2 linked regions of the Drosophila melanogaster genome follow. The gene in region 2 interacts genetically with the main gene of each other region. Each region holds a gene or a part of one and is shown on either strand. Other genes may lie near its edges.

Region 1 (5,037 bases), 8.0 Mb from region 2:
CCCCTCCCTTCACCTTTTCACTGCCACTACTCTGCTCTCACGTTCTCCGTGTTAATTTCGAATTAGTATAGCAACAATAACCGGCCGCAAGGTGTAGTGAAGATTGTTAAATTAACGGATCTTTACTCTTTATAACTTAAATTTAGTCTGCCCCCGAATAATAAATATGCCCAATTGCAGACATGAAATCTCAATTCACTAATTAATAAAATATTAGCTAAAATCCCAATTCGAATGCAACTAATGGCTGGTATTTAATTTGCAGCCATAACTGTATTCCTCTGGCATGCCAATTTACCGTTATTAATTATGAAGATCATGCATTTACATGGCTATTAATTATATACGTTGTTATGTATGCAGACTCACGCACACACAGGCATAAGCACAAGCACACGAAAACATACATATGTATGTACATGCATGCTCACTAACACCCACACAGATACCAAGAGCTAATAAAAAGTTTCGCTTTCTTTTTGCACATCATTTTGCATGCGCAGTAAAAAGGCAGGGACAAGTGAAATAAATACAAATAAATAATGTGCGAGTGTGCAAGGTGTTAAGCAACAACAATTGCAATAGAGGGAAAAAAGTGAATCAAAAGCCAGAAAAAGAGGAAGAACACGAATTTTGTGTATTAAGCGGCAGTCCAGAGAGAGAAAGAGAGAGTCTCCCACGGTGTGTGTGTGTGTTGGAGGGGGATGCTGCTAGGGAAAAGAGACTGAGAGTAAAAGCCGGCCTGAATCCGAATAACAGCTGTTACTCACAGACACAATCCACATGGAACATCTCTCTTCATCTTTTTGTTGTTGTTGGTCCCATGGATGCTTTTTTCTAGCCGGTTTTATTTTCTCTATCATCTTTATTTCATTTGGTCAATTACACACACTTGGCTTCTTTCTTATGAACCGCAAGGACCGAGACAGAAGGCAGCCACTTAATTGCACACTTACAGAAATGAAATAAGGTAATAGTAATATAAAATAAAACGGCTGTAAGCCTCGCCTTAGCTTTTTTCGTTTGAGAAAGCCAAAAATAATTGCCAACTGGCCAAGTCAAGAAAAAGAGAACGAGTAAAAGAGAAGGCGGCTTTTTGTCCAGGGAGAGGCGCACAAAATGCGTCGCAAAATATTTCGCCCACAGAAAACTGCAAACATAATGAAAGCCCGGGAAAGGAAAAATTATTGCGTGGGTGTGGAATATCAATGCCGGCAAGGAAAGCAGAATGAATTCCAGGGAAGTCCCCTTTGCGTTTCATACACCAAAATTTTGTACATAATGTACAAAACTTCATTTCGCCTGGCCATTTACGCGATGACGCATTTAGAGCCAATCGAATATTGTGTACTCACAAGGCCTGATAACAGGGGCCACACATAATGTACACACTATGTGGTGCAGTCGTCAAGTACATGCACAGATTAAAGCGGAAAACTGTTGATGCAAGTCCAATTAACCCGACGAAACTGGTAGAAGTAACCGGCAAATTCAAGACCACAGAAAATATTAAAGAGACAAATGATCTGAGATTTTAAAACATTTAGATCACTTTAATTTGTAAAACAAACACATTACCTAATTATTACATGTCTATTGAACATTTCAGTTGATATTTATGACTGCAGTGCAGCTTTAATTTTGCATTCCTCAGTATCCACGTCAACACAAAAACGCCAGTTAGTTGGCTAATATTGTGCTGGACGGTTTTACACAATTAATTTTAACTTGAAATGTATTTTTGTCCATATCTTCGAAGAAAAACCACGAGTTCTTCAAACTGTTACCTGCACTGTTGTCTTAACATCTAGTAAAATGTTAATCTGGGGGGCGCCATAAAGAAATCGCCGCCGACTTTGGGCAAATAGAAATAAAAACTGATGGACTCCGAATTTTCGATTCGTTATCTCTGAAAACTGGAGCGTTGGGGGATTGAATGAGTGAGCGAATGACTGCTATTCACCGTATCGGTTTTGGAGGTTATTAGAGGGCTTAGCCCAAAATTGAATGATTAATTGATCATCAAAGGTGAGGTGGAAACTCCCTTTGCTTCTTTTTTTTTGTCTTGTTTGAATACGCACCTAAAAATGGAATTTTTGTTGGTTTTACTTGCTTTCTATATATCACACGCAACCACAACAAATTGCTCTGCTTTTTTTTCCACCGCCGCCTGCTTCTTCTTGCTCTTTTTGAATATCACACACGTTTCATATTTGCAAATTTTTCATTTTTTTGCGGGCGTTTTGCCTTTTCTGTCGGTTACTTTTTGTATTCCACGTATAATGTGCTGCTGCTTCTTACTCGTTTGACTCAGTCTGTGTGTGTGCGAGTGTGAGTACGTCGGTGGTGTGGGAACTTTTAACTTTACTACGCGACGTTTTCGTTTCTCTTCTTTATTCTCTATATATTCTACGATTCTGTGCGTGACGTCAGCAGTTCGAGCATTTGTTGTAGATATCACATAATTGTTACACGCCCGCACTTTTATTTTATTTTATTCTTGATTTTTTAGAGCATTTGCTATTGCTACTCAGCGACTTGAATCTTTTACTTGCAGAGGCAGTCTTTTGCGGCTTTTTGGTTTTTCTCTCAGTTTTCCATTTTCACATTTTTGCGGACTGGCGACGAAAAGCGAACTGAACTTGGGCCACAAAGTGTGTTGTGCCGTGTCTTTTTTGGAGTCGCCGTCGCCGGCAAAACGCAATCCACACGCGGAGAAAGAGAATCGGAGAGACACGAGATAGAGAGAGAGAGCGAGAGAGGGAGTCGTCTTACGTCAGACGGAGAAAACGTAAGCACCACCGTAATGGCACTTTTAATACCGGCCACTTACGCTTAATTAGTGTATTAAACCACATTAACTTATCAATACCTCAGTCTTGTACTCTTTTCAGTTAGCTTTTCTATTTTTTTTCGGATTTTTCCGTCGATTTTCCCCTCGTAACGTGTTTTCTGCTCGCACATGTGTGTGGGGGCGGCAGCGGCAACAGCAGCGTCACGACGCGACAACAACACTGAACGCGGCGAATCGACAGAACAAGCAACGAGCCACAAAACGCACGGCGTCTCTTGTAGCGGCGAATTTGAGGCGTCAGCAGCTGAGCGCTCGCGGCACGAGAGAGTGAGAGCAGAAGAGAGTGGATCGTAAATTGAGTGGAGACAAAACTGATCAAACGATAGCTATTCGATATTACGATAGGTTGTCAATTCAAAAGGGAACGAATATTTTGGGTTATTAATATTTTGCAATGAATAAATACATTTGAGTGTTAAAAGAAAAATATAATTATTTATAAGCGAAGTTAAATACCTATAACAGCGCTGTTAATCACTTCCTGAATTGTTTTTTAAATGCTACATTATTTTACCTAATATCAGCTTTTAATTAAATCTTTGGTCCAAGTTTTATTTGAAGTTTTTAATTTTAAAATTCTGTTGATATAAAAACTAATGCTTGAAGCTAAGAGAACCACGCTAATTGCAGCGAATTAGCGGCAACAGCTGAGCACGAGAGAGAACGAATGTGGAGAAGGGGGCGGAAAGCGAAAGCGCAAGAGGGTGGAATGTGAGTGGCGCCGCTTCCTACTCTTCACATGTGGCATGTGGAAGCCAGACTCGAATGTTCGGTGAGAGCGGCTTTTGCTTTTGGCCCCCAACCCTTTTCGCTCTCTTCGGCTTGCCGGCTACAAATCGGCTAAAAATCGCTCAGACGGAAGTGGCGACGTCGCTGTTACCGCACCCACATCAACAGCGACGCCGGCAGAGAACCTTTCCCCTCCCGCTCAACCAACCGCTTCACCATCTTCTTTATCTTTATCAGTTGTGTGCCAAGTGTTGCATTGCGTTGCAGTGACGACATTGTTGTAGTTGCAGCAGCACAGCAGCGTTGCCGATTTTCAGCGCCCCATCAACAAGGGGTACACTTTTTAAGGCCGGAAATAGGCATTAAATGGGTCTATCGCATAACTCGACACTGTCGCACACAAATCTATTAATTTCTACGTATCATAAAAATTATGCCTGAGATTAAAGCCAAGTATGCTCATCTCACAGCTCACAGCTTAATCATATAATATACCTTAAAGATTTGCAACTTTATAGAGAAAAGTTAGTATTTAATTAAGTAAATACTAACTGAAGTGTAAAAATTCACCTATTTGCTGAGCAACTGACCTGATTAAAGAAACCTGCTCAAACATTTGACTTTCCATTCTTATATTATTTGTTATTCCACTATTAATCTACTTTAGTGCAAAAGCACTTTCTACTAAACAAACAATACTCATACATTCTGGAATAATGCAAAGTTTGTACTCATAAATATCCCAAAATCGCTACCATGTCACTTTTTCTAACAACAATCTGATTAAATATTTACAACTCATGCCCGCTGCCATTTGCATTCCTGGTTTTGTGTGCACAAATGTATCTCGCAAATCAGTACAACTTGCCAGGCGATCTGCGCAGTGTTTCCCATTCCCATAATCCCAAGCCCAGTAACTGAGAAACATCCCCCCCCCCTCCTACCAGAAATGTAATCTCCTTTCCAGTTTTCGATTTCTATTAACTTTTTAGGCAGTTTTTTTTTTTGGATTCGAGGCTGTTATCCTTTGGGTTTCTCTTGGGTGGGTTGCTGAGGCGAGGACACTCACAGATCCGTGAGTGTGATTTTTTTCACATTTCCCATAAGCCAGACCGGCAGACAAGAAGAAGAAGAAGAAGAATGAGAATACGAATATGAAGAAGAGGGGCGAGAATCACCCCTCACGGACGCAGAAAGAGAGGAAGAACTTTGGCCCCTGCGCCTGCCCCTTCCCCCTTCCCATCCCTTGCCCAACACATATGCAATTAGAGTATCTCTATGCTTGATTTTTTTTCAACCATTTTCTGCAAGATGGTTTTTTTTTTTCGCCTACCAGATAGAAGAGCGCAAGCGGGAACTTCCCACGATCCTTGGGTGGACTTTTGTACTTTGGAAGACATTTTATGTGCGCAGTGTCATAAATACTTTTAATTAACTGGAAATGCGTGTGCGAG
Region 2 (7,834 bases):
AACGCTTGGAAAGAAAAAATCTCTTTTATCCCTATGTGCTTTGTATATAATAGTGTACTTAATTCGTACAAGTAATTACTTTAAAAGCAAAACACAAACGATATATATTGTTAGAACCAAAACTTTGTCAGTTTATAAAACTTAGTTATGCATTTGATTTTAGATTGCTAATTCATTTTCAAATTTTAAATATTTAACTAGGATATATTTCAGCCAATGAGGTGTCAAAATTATCATTGGCGTTCTTCAAATTCAAGATAAATAAAATCAAATGAAATTGTAATTTTAATTCAGGCAAATAATGCGAAATAGTGAAACTAAGACTTTGTAATATACTTATATTCCGAAATTACGACAACAAAAAAGAAAAACAATAAACTAACTTTATATGATTAAAATCGTCGAAGTACTTTATATCCTTTTTGAAGTGAAACCAGCGAGCAAACATTTATAGTTTAAATTTATCCGTATTTATTGAAATTACTCATTGTATAGACAATTTTAAGTGTTCCGGTGTACAAGTCGCAGTAATTTCGTGGCCTATATGTACTCCTTGAATCCAAATCGGCACATTCAGCCGATCCCTGTCATCTTCCAGCCAATGTCCCATGTCCACAACAAGACTTAGGACAAATTGTCGTTATATATTTAAAAGAAAATGACGAGGCCCGACAGTGGTGGATTGGTATGATTTCATATTCATTAAGTTTTGGTTGTAGTCGGGGTGTCTGAGTGTTGATGTTTGTAGAATAGTTATAGTAGAAGTCTAAAATCAAGTGTTTTAATATTAATGGGACAGCTAACTAATCTAATCGTCCATGCTCTCGTTATTGCGGTCCGGTGAGGCGTTTCCATTTTTGGGCGAGGCCGAACGGGAGCGTGAGCGCGAACGCGACTTGTTTTCAGCCGATGCGGATCGATCGCTGCAAAAGAAAGGCATTGTAGTGAACTATAGAACGAGCTTTTGAACGACCACCGTTGGCGGGCTACAAACAGGTGCATCCAAACAAAACCAAAGAAAGCACGAAAGAAAGAATCGTGAACGGTCTATAATAATATGGAGCCATGGTCATCGCACTGTGGCCAAACTTACCGTGAACGGGAGTCGCGGTGGATGGACTTGGAACGTGAGCGGGAACGGGACTCGCGCTTCGAGACGGACCGCGATCGGGAACGGGAGTCACGCTCACGTTTGGGCGAACGGGAGCGGGTGCGGGAGTGGGACTTTGACTTGGACTTGGACACGTCACGCGATTTGCTGCAGCGGAAGTAGTGAAGTAATTAATTAGTGGGCAATCATATGAAGTAAAAAGCCAGGGAGGATCGTAATTAATATTTTCTATCGTGTAAAATCTATATAATATTAATATTAAAGCATATATCACAAAGAATTTGTGATTAAGTACGATCCCTACCAGACTTTATTCTCTCTCTACTTACTTGGATCGCGAGCGGGAGCGAGAACGAGACTTGACTGGCGACTTGGACTTGGAGCGTCCGCCACGAGATTTGGAGCGGCTGCGAGACTTGGAGCGCGAGTGCGACGAGCGGCGAGAGCGAGAACGCCTGCGGGATCGGGAGCGCGATCGGGAGCTGGACGAACGGGAGCGTCCACGTCCGCTGCCGCCGCCACCACCGCTGCGTCCTCCGCGACGATCCTCGACCAAGTGGATCCGCCTGCCGTTTAGCTCGGTGTCATCCAACTTCTCAATGGCCGTCTTCATGTCCGACAACGAGGCGAACTCAACCACGCTGCAAAGGAACACAATTGTAGTTGGTTGTATGTAAAATAATTTCAACCATTTTCAAACATACCCCTCATTGCGACGCTGCTTGTGGGCATCGGCATAGGTGACCTCGCCAGCCTGGCGCATGTAATCCTTGAGATCCTGCAGGGACGCACAAAGTCGGAACGAAAAGATAGTAATTAGTAAGTTTCAGCTTTGGCAGATGTCTCGCACATTTCGACATCGCACATCCGACGGCAGTGGTTGCAACTCAAAGGACAGCCCGTGCAGCAGATGGAGCATTTTGAATGTTTTCGGTATTATTTGGGGCTCCTAACCAAGTCCCAGCCTCTCACAAGTCCCTCTCTCTCTCTCACTCAGTGCCCTGTGTTCGTCTATCCTGTGCTCTTGTCGCGCCTGCCTACGTGTGGAAACCGAGAACCTCACTCCGGACGAAGGATTTCGCTTGGCCAGGAAAAAAGAAGGAGGAGGTGCCCAGAACGTACCGAACACAACATTCAAACACTCCACGCTGCACGCGGCACAAAACTTAAGCGTAAACAATCATAGTTAACAGTGGTTGGCAATTGATAGTAGATATATATATATATATATAGATTGAGTTGATTTGGTTTGGAAATAAATTAAAGTTAACAAAATAGTTGTAATTGAATTCTTACTTAATGCGCTTTCAGAGAGAGGAGGACACACACATCGTTTCTACACCGAGAGTTTAGATTGTCTGCCTAGTAACTGTGGGCCAATGACACCAAGGACACCTCATGACCTCATCGAAAGTCCGATCGAACATCGTTAACTCAACCAGTCAGCCAGAAGAGAACCAGTGGCCAGGCAGGCGGATGAGCGGATGGATGGCCAGAGCTCGTTACGTTTTGTTTGTTTGGATTTGGTATTCGTTTTCATTTGGCCACGTACGTACCACCAAGTACACAGTTTTGTTATGTTTTTCATGTACAACAGAATCATATTATAAATGGCAAAAAGGTATTCAAGTGTTGCGGTAGCTGTTTTCGTTTCGTTTCGGAGGAAGCCACACACCGGATACAGTCAGGAGGAGGTCAGATCAGATCAGAGCAGACATCGCTGGCCAGAACCACCGCACCAGAGAGCCAGAGAATGGAGCATTTGGAGCAGTTTGCCGGTCAGAGGCGGACAACAACCAGCGGCATCGGCACCTCACGCACAAACGAACTGCAAAAATAAGAAATACGTTTCGGGACGCTGCTCTCGCTTCTCCAACGGGTTGGGTTGGTGGTTGTCTAGTCGGTAGTCTCAGCCGGAGACGGGGCAGGTAGCCGTATGCCGTTTGCCGGAGCCGCAGCCATAAGCCAGAGCCGCAGCCGGAAGCCAGAAGAACCGGGAATGGGGGGAAGGAATAAGTTCGGAGGCACTAGCCGAAGTTGGTAACTGAACGCGCGACCAGCATCGCAGCATCGTGTCATCGTCATCGATCGATCATCGTCATATGCTCATCCCTCATCGTCGCCAAGACCATCACATCATCTTAGAATTAGCGAACGCAAGCTTCTCATCTAACCACACTCGATTGATTCGATTCGCACCCTCATCACACTCACAATGGCTATAAGGAATTTGACAATTCTTTATATAATATTGTTGGTAATTAAAATTGTGAATGTTTTTAGCAGAGAGTTAAATACCTAACGCAAGAGGCCAGCCCACGTCTTTTCAATCAGTGTGGGCTTTAATACGTGGGCTGGCCTTTTGACCCGGGCAGCTCATCAACGTCCATCGTCATCGTCTGCTTTCTGATTTCGATTTTGCATTCAGTTTTGGGTTCGATTCTGATCGACTTGTTCATTTCGTTATGTGTTCTATATTATGTTTTATTTGGAATAGACGACGAATGGATGAGGCGGCGGCGATGGCGCTTCGTGGAGGTCGGTCGTAGGTTGCAGATCGTAGTTCGCATATCGAAACCAATCTGGGGCGGCTCTGGGTACTGTCTCACTCTGTCTTCCACCGCATCTTGGTTTTTGGGTAACATTCTGAACCGGTCGGTCGGTCACTAGACTAGCTTGTCTTTCTCACAGCGATTCAATTAGATTTGATTCTCTTTCAGTTTTAGATTCGGCCCCAAGCCGAGGAGGGAATCTCTCAGTCAAAGCACATCAAACTCTTTTTATTATCGGTTTCGGTTGGTGTGTGCAAGAGAAAGTAATGGTGGGTAGATTACACCGATCAGTACCAGGGTTTTAGCAATATCTTTTGTTTTCGTGTTTCACTTAAGTCTAGGTCAACTGTACAGCTTAGGGCTAGATTACAGATTATAGAATTGGCTCTAGTCAGAGTGGAGGAGGAGTTAAAACACAAAACAGGACGAAGACACCGGAAAGTAATTCGAAATCAAAAAGGGGCTCGAAAAGGTTGGTTCTGGGATGGGTAAGTTGATTAATGGGTGTTTGTAATAGTGATCCATTTCAGTCGGTTAGCCGTTTTAATTCTAGTACTACACTCCTCGAATCTAAGCTACAGTATATACCACGCCCAAGGCGCGATACATCGATCCATGCTCACTTACCTGCCAGCTAACGCGGCTAGACAAATTCTCCACAATCAGTCGGTACTCAGTGCGCAACGGTGGGCCATAACGAGAGGATGATCTGGAATTTTTGTTTCTGGTGAATAATTGAATGGATTCGCTAATTAGTATTGACACTGCGCTGCTGCTCCTGATGCTCCATCACAAAAATTAACGGTAATGGTGAATATATTCCAGCATATGCATATTTACATTTGGGTTATGCGCAACAAATCAAACATTTTACATACTATGCGGATGGGTGGAACGTGCAAATAAAAGCAACAATAGTATGCATAGGAAAACGGAGCGTCTTGGAAATGATAATATTAACAGCAAGTCAGTGTCTTTTGGTTCCCTTCCACGCAGAAGAAATCAGCTTATACGATTGCACTACCAAAAGTGTATAAAACTATAGAAGTCAATATATAATAAACTGATGTTTTTTATATATATCGCAAGTAGCTAATATTATAGGTATATAGATTTTGCACGATCTAAGCTGGTTGCATCTGTGTGGATGGAGATATCAAACGAAACAAATTGGCAGTGCTAATTCTAGGGCAAACTTCAACGCAAACAAAGTTGGAGGACGATATCGTCGCTACTTTGGTCCGGTTTTAAGGTCCGCTGGCAGTACTACTTACTTTTCGTTGTAACGACCGCCCCCGCCCCCCCGCCGACCACCATATCGATCGTCGTAGCGGTCGCGGTTGCTGCCACGAGCGGTACCCCTGGCGGGTTCAACAACCACACTGCAAAAATATAGAACATACAATCGTGAGTCATTTCGTACTTTGGCTTATATCTAACAACTCACCGTTCGCCAAGCAGCTCTTTGCCATTCAGTTCATAGACGGCATCGTCGGCATCACGATAGTCTTCGAATTCCTGAAAATTCAATTAGTGATTAGTATTGATTATGGAATTAGTATTGAAGCTACCCTGCCTGTGCATACTCTTATGGAAATACGCTGGGTGAATTTAAGAACAGTTTTTAAGCGTCACTGTATTTGACAGACAAATGATGGAACAAATATAGGTTCAAAAAGAAAAAAAAAGTATTCAAGGGTCGGCTTGAAATGTTAGGAAACCTATAGACAAACAGAGAAATGCAGAAATGTCTTCAAATCAAATTTAACCGATTTTTTTTTTTTACATATTCCAGTTAAATATGATATTTTGTACTCACCACAAAGCCGTAGCCATTTTTGATGAGGATGTCGCGTGTGCGGCCGTAGCCTTTGAAAAAGCGCTCCAAATCGCGCTCGCGCACTCCGTAGGGCAGACCGCCCACATACACTCGAGATCCCACCATGATAACGGTTCCTTACGTATCTGGAGCAGGTGCTATAAAATAGTGAAGTATATATATATATATCAGCAAGGGAACCGTTGCAGTTTGCAGCTTCTATTTTGCTCGACTGTCCTTTAGGAATGGAAGAAAAAAAAAACGCACATATGTACGCGCCGTGTATGTTTCGCCAAGATGGCGGCCACCACATACACACACACACGCTCGCAATGTACCGGGTGTACAGAACCGCTGCAAAAACGAGTTAATTTAACAACGCGAAATACGCGCTGTTCTTCACTTAAGCGTACTCACTAGCACGTACCGTTCAGTGAAGGATATTTGTGGCAAATTTACAATTAAGTCGCTGCCGTACTCTCTCTTTTTCAGGCTTTCCCACACGAAAAAACGCAAGCGACTCGACACAAACGGAAGTGAAAGTGACAGACGAAAGCGATGTTTGACAGTCATTCCAAAGGCGGAATGGAACGATACTTTTTCGCCTATCGATATTTTGGGCGGGCAATGCGTTTCGCTGCGTTAAGGGTATTCCAGTTGCTGTTCGTGTTCCGCTATGAAAAGAATAAACATTAAATATACTTAGTAGTAGCATTTGAATATACTGTTAACAACCTTTTTATTTTGATATCTGCTAGCAAGCACTCATTAGCATTTTTTAACGTTTCTGATTTGATGATATACATAAAATGTTTCTGGATTTATTAATTTATTTCGCACGATGTCTTTTTTTATTCCCAAATGCCTCATAGATCCCGTAATTGTAATATTGATTGACCCTTAGCTGGCTACTTACAAATATACAATTCAATACAAAATAATTTACAAGTTATCTCTTAAAGTGAAGCCTTCCATCGCCCCAGCTAAAGCGAATGCTCGCAGAAAGAGTTATGTAAGCGGTATTAATAATAATACATATTTAGCTAAAAAGTTAAACATATTAAATGTTTCTTGGGTTATCGTGGTAGTAATTATCATAATCCATTTATAAAGATAATACATTCAAATCCGTTTGTTCAGAAATATATACAATAAACTTGTCTAATATTTTTAAGCCCTTACTAGACGAATACAAATTTATATGAAGATATATAAAATCAAGTGTGGCATCAGCTTAATTGTCGAGGAACACCCCTAACGCACCGAAACAATCGTTCCGATTCCACGTGGCGTCCGATTTTCCGACTTTACCCCGTTCTCGACACCTGGTCATACTGCTCACTCCATTCTCATTGTGCGTGCTGTACATTTCATTTATTGCCAGTCTGCCGTCAAAAAAGAACAAAAACAAAAAAAATATTTCCTGCGTTCGGTGTTTAAACTTTCCATCTTCTTGAACAACCAAGGAGAGAATGGCGGAACAAAACGATTCCAACGGAAACTACGACGATGGTGAAGAGGTGAGTTGCAGAATGACCAATTGCTGTTTGTAAATCGTTCATCGCGCGTGAAAGTGCAAAATGTCGACGCCGACAATATTCGTGTATAATATACATTCACGCCGCTTTTTTACCGAATTATGGGGGCCATCGATCCCTGTGCGAATTTAGCCAGCTAAAAGTTTATCGACCTCTTTTGGCGAGAAATATAAGCAATTTCCGATAAAAAAGTTGCCGGCTGTTTGATAAAAAAGAAAACGAAAATTCATACATACATACACATATACGGGCTGTCATGGCGGTGCAAATACTAAAAAAAAAAAAAAAAAATATGGCGAGCGGCTTTTTCTCGCCAGGTAAATTACTATTATAAACAATGGCAAATCCTTGTTGATCAAGGATGATTTTGCACTTTTATCGTTTTATTGACATAAACTTATTGACTTATTGACAGCAACTTATTTTTTTATTAAATTTACAGCAACTTATTATACATTTAAATATTTTTTATACATTTATTCATTTAGATACAGTATGATTTTTTTTTTTATTATATAAATTTATACATTTTTCGCAAAGTTTGTCCAAAGAAATCAATTAATTTAATTTAATATTACAACTTATTTTCGAATCAATGGGTTTTTTTTTTGTTTTTAGAAATTATTTAAATTATAGAACGTCTTTAGCTAATGCATTTGAAATTCACCCGCAGATCACCGAGCCAGAGCAGCTGCGCAAACTGTTCATCGGCGGACTGGACTACCGCACCACAGATGATGGCCTGAAGGCTCACTTCGAGAAGTGGGGCAACATTGTCGACGTGGTGGTGATGAAGGATCCCAAGACGAAGCGC

Evidence for each region. A genetic interaction does not mean that the proteins touch.
Region 1: of B52 (region 2) and E2f1, changing one suppresses a phenotype caused by changing the other (phenotypic suppression), as found in Drosophila melanogaster (one study listed by BioGRID).

What each region holds. Positions count from the first base shown.
Region 1 is NT_033777.3:21,630,052-21,635,088, forward strand, and holds the start of E2f1 (E2F transcription factor 1), read right to left. Parts: upstream 3,023-5,037; 5' UTR 2,873-3,022; exon of another isoform or gene 2,082-2,872; intron 1-2,081. UniProt on the Drosophila melanogaster protein: Transcriptional activator that binds to E2f sites. Required for wild-type growth in mitotic and polytene tissues, Contributes to the expression of replication genes at the G1-S transition and Cyclin E.
Region 2 is NT_033777.3:13,659,508-13,667,341, reverse strand, and holds B52 (B52), read right to left. Parts: upstream 6,032-7,834; 5' UTR 5,900-6,031; exon of another isoform or gene 5,641-5,899; 5' UTR 5,609-5,640; coding exon 5,483-5,608; intron 5,182-5,482; coding exon 5,111-5,181; intron 5,046-5,110; coding exon 4,938-5,045; intron 4,388-4,937; coding exon 4,291-4,387; coding exon of another isoform or gene 4,234-4,290; exon of another isoform or gene 3,888-4,233; coding exon of another isoform or gene 3,867-3,887; exon of another isoform or gene 1,890-3,866; coding exon 1,816-1,889; intron 1,753-1,815; coding exon 1,441-1,752; intron 1,259-1,440; coding exon 1,094-1,258; intron 987-1,093; coding exon of another isoform or gene 950-986; exon of another isoform or gene 924-949; coding exon 809-923; 3' UTR 451-808; downstream 1-450. Other genes in the region: Hrb87F (heterogeneous nuclear ribonucleoprotein at 87F), read left to right, coding at 6,955-7,002, 7,694-7,834. UniProt on the Drosophila melanogaster protein: Essential for development. May have a critical role in splicing or in controlling alternative splice site use of at least some pre-mRNA in vivo. Not required for all splicing. May play a general role in the condensation or decondensation of chromatin.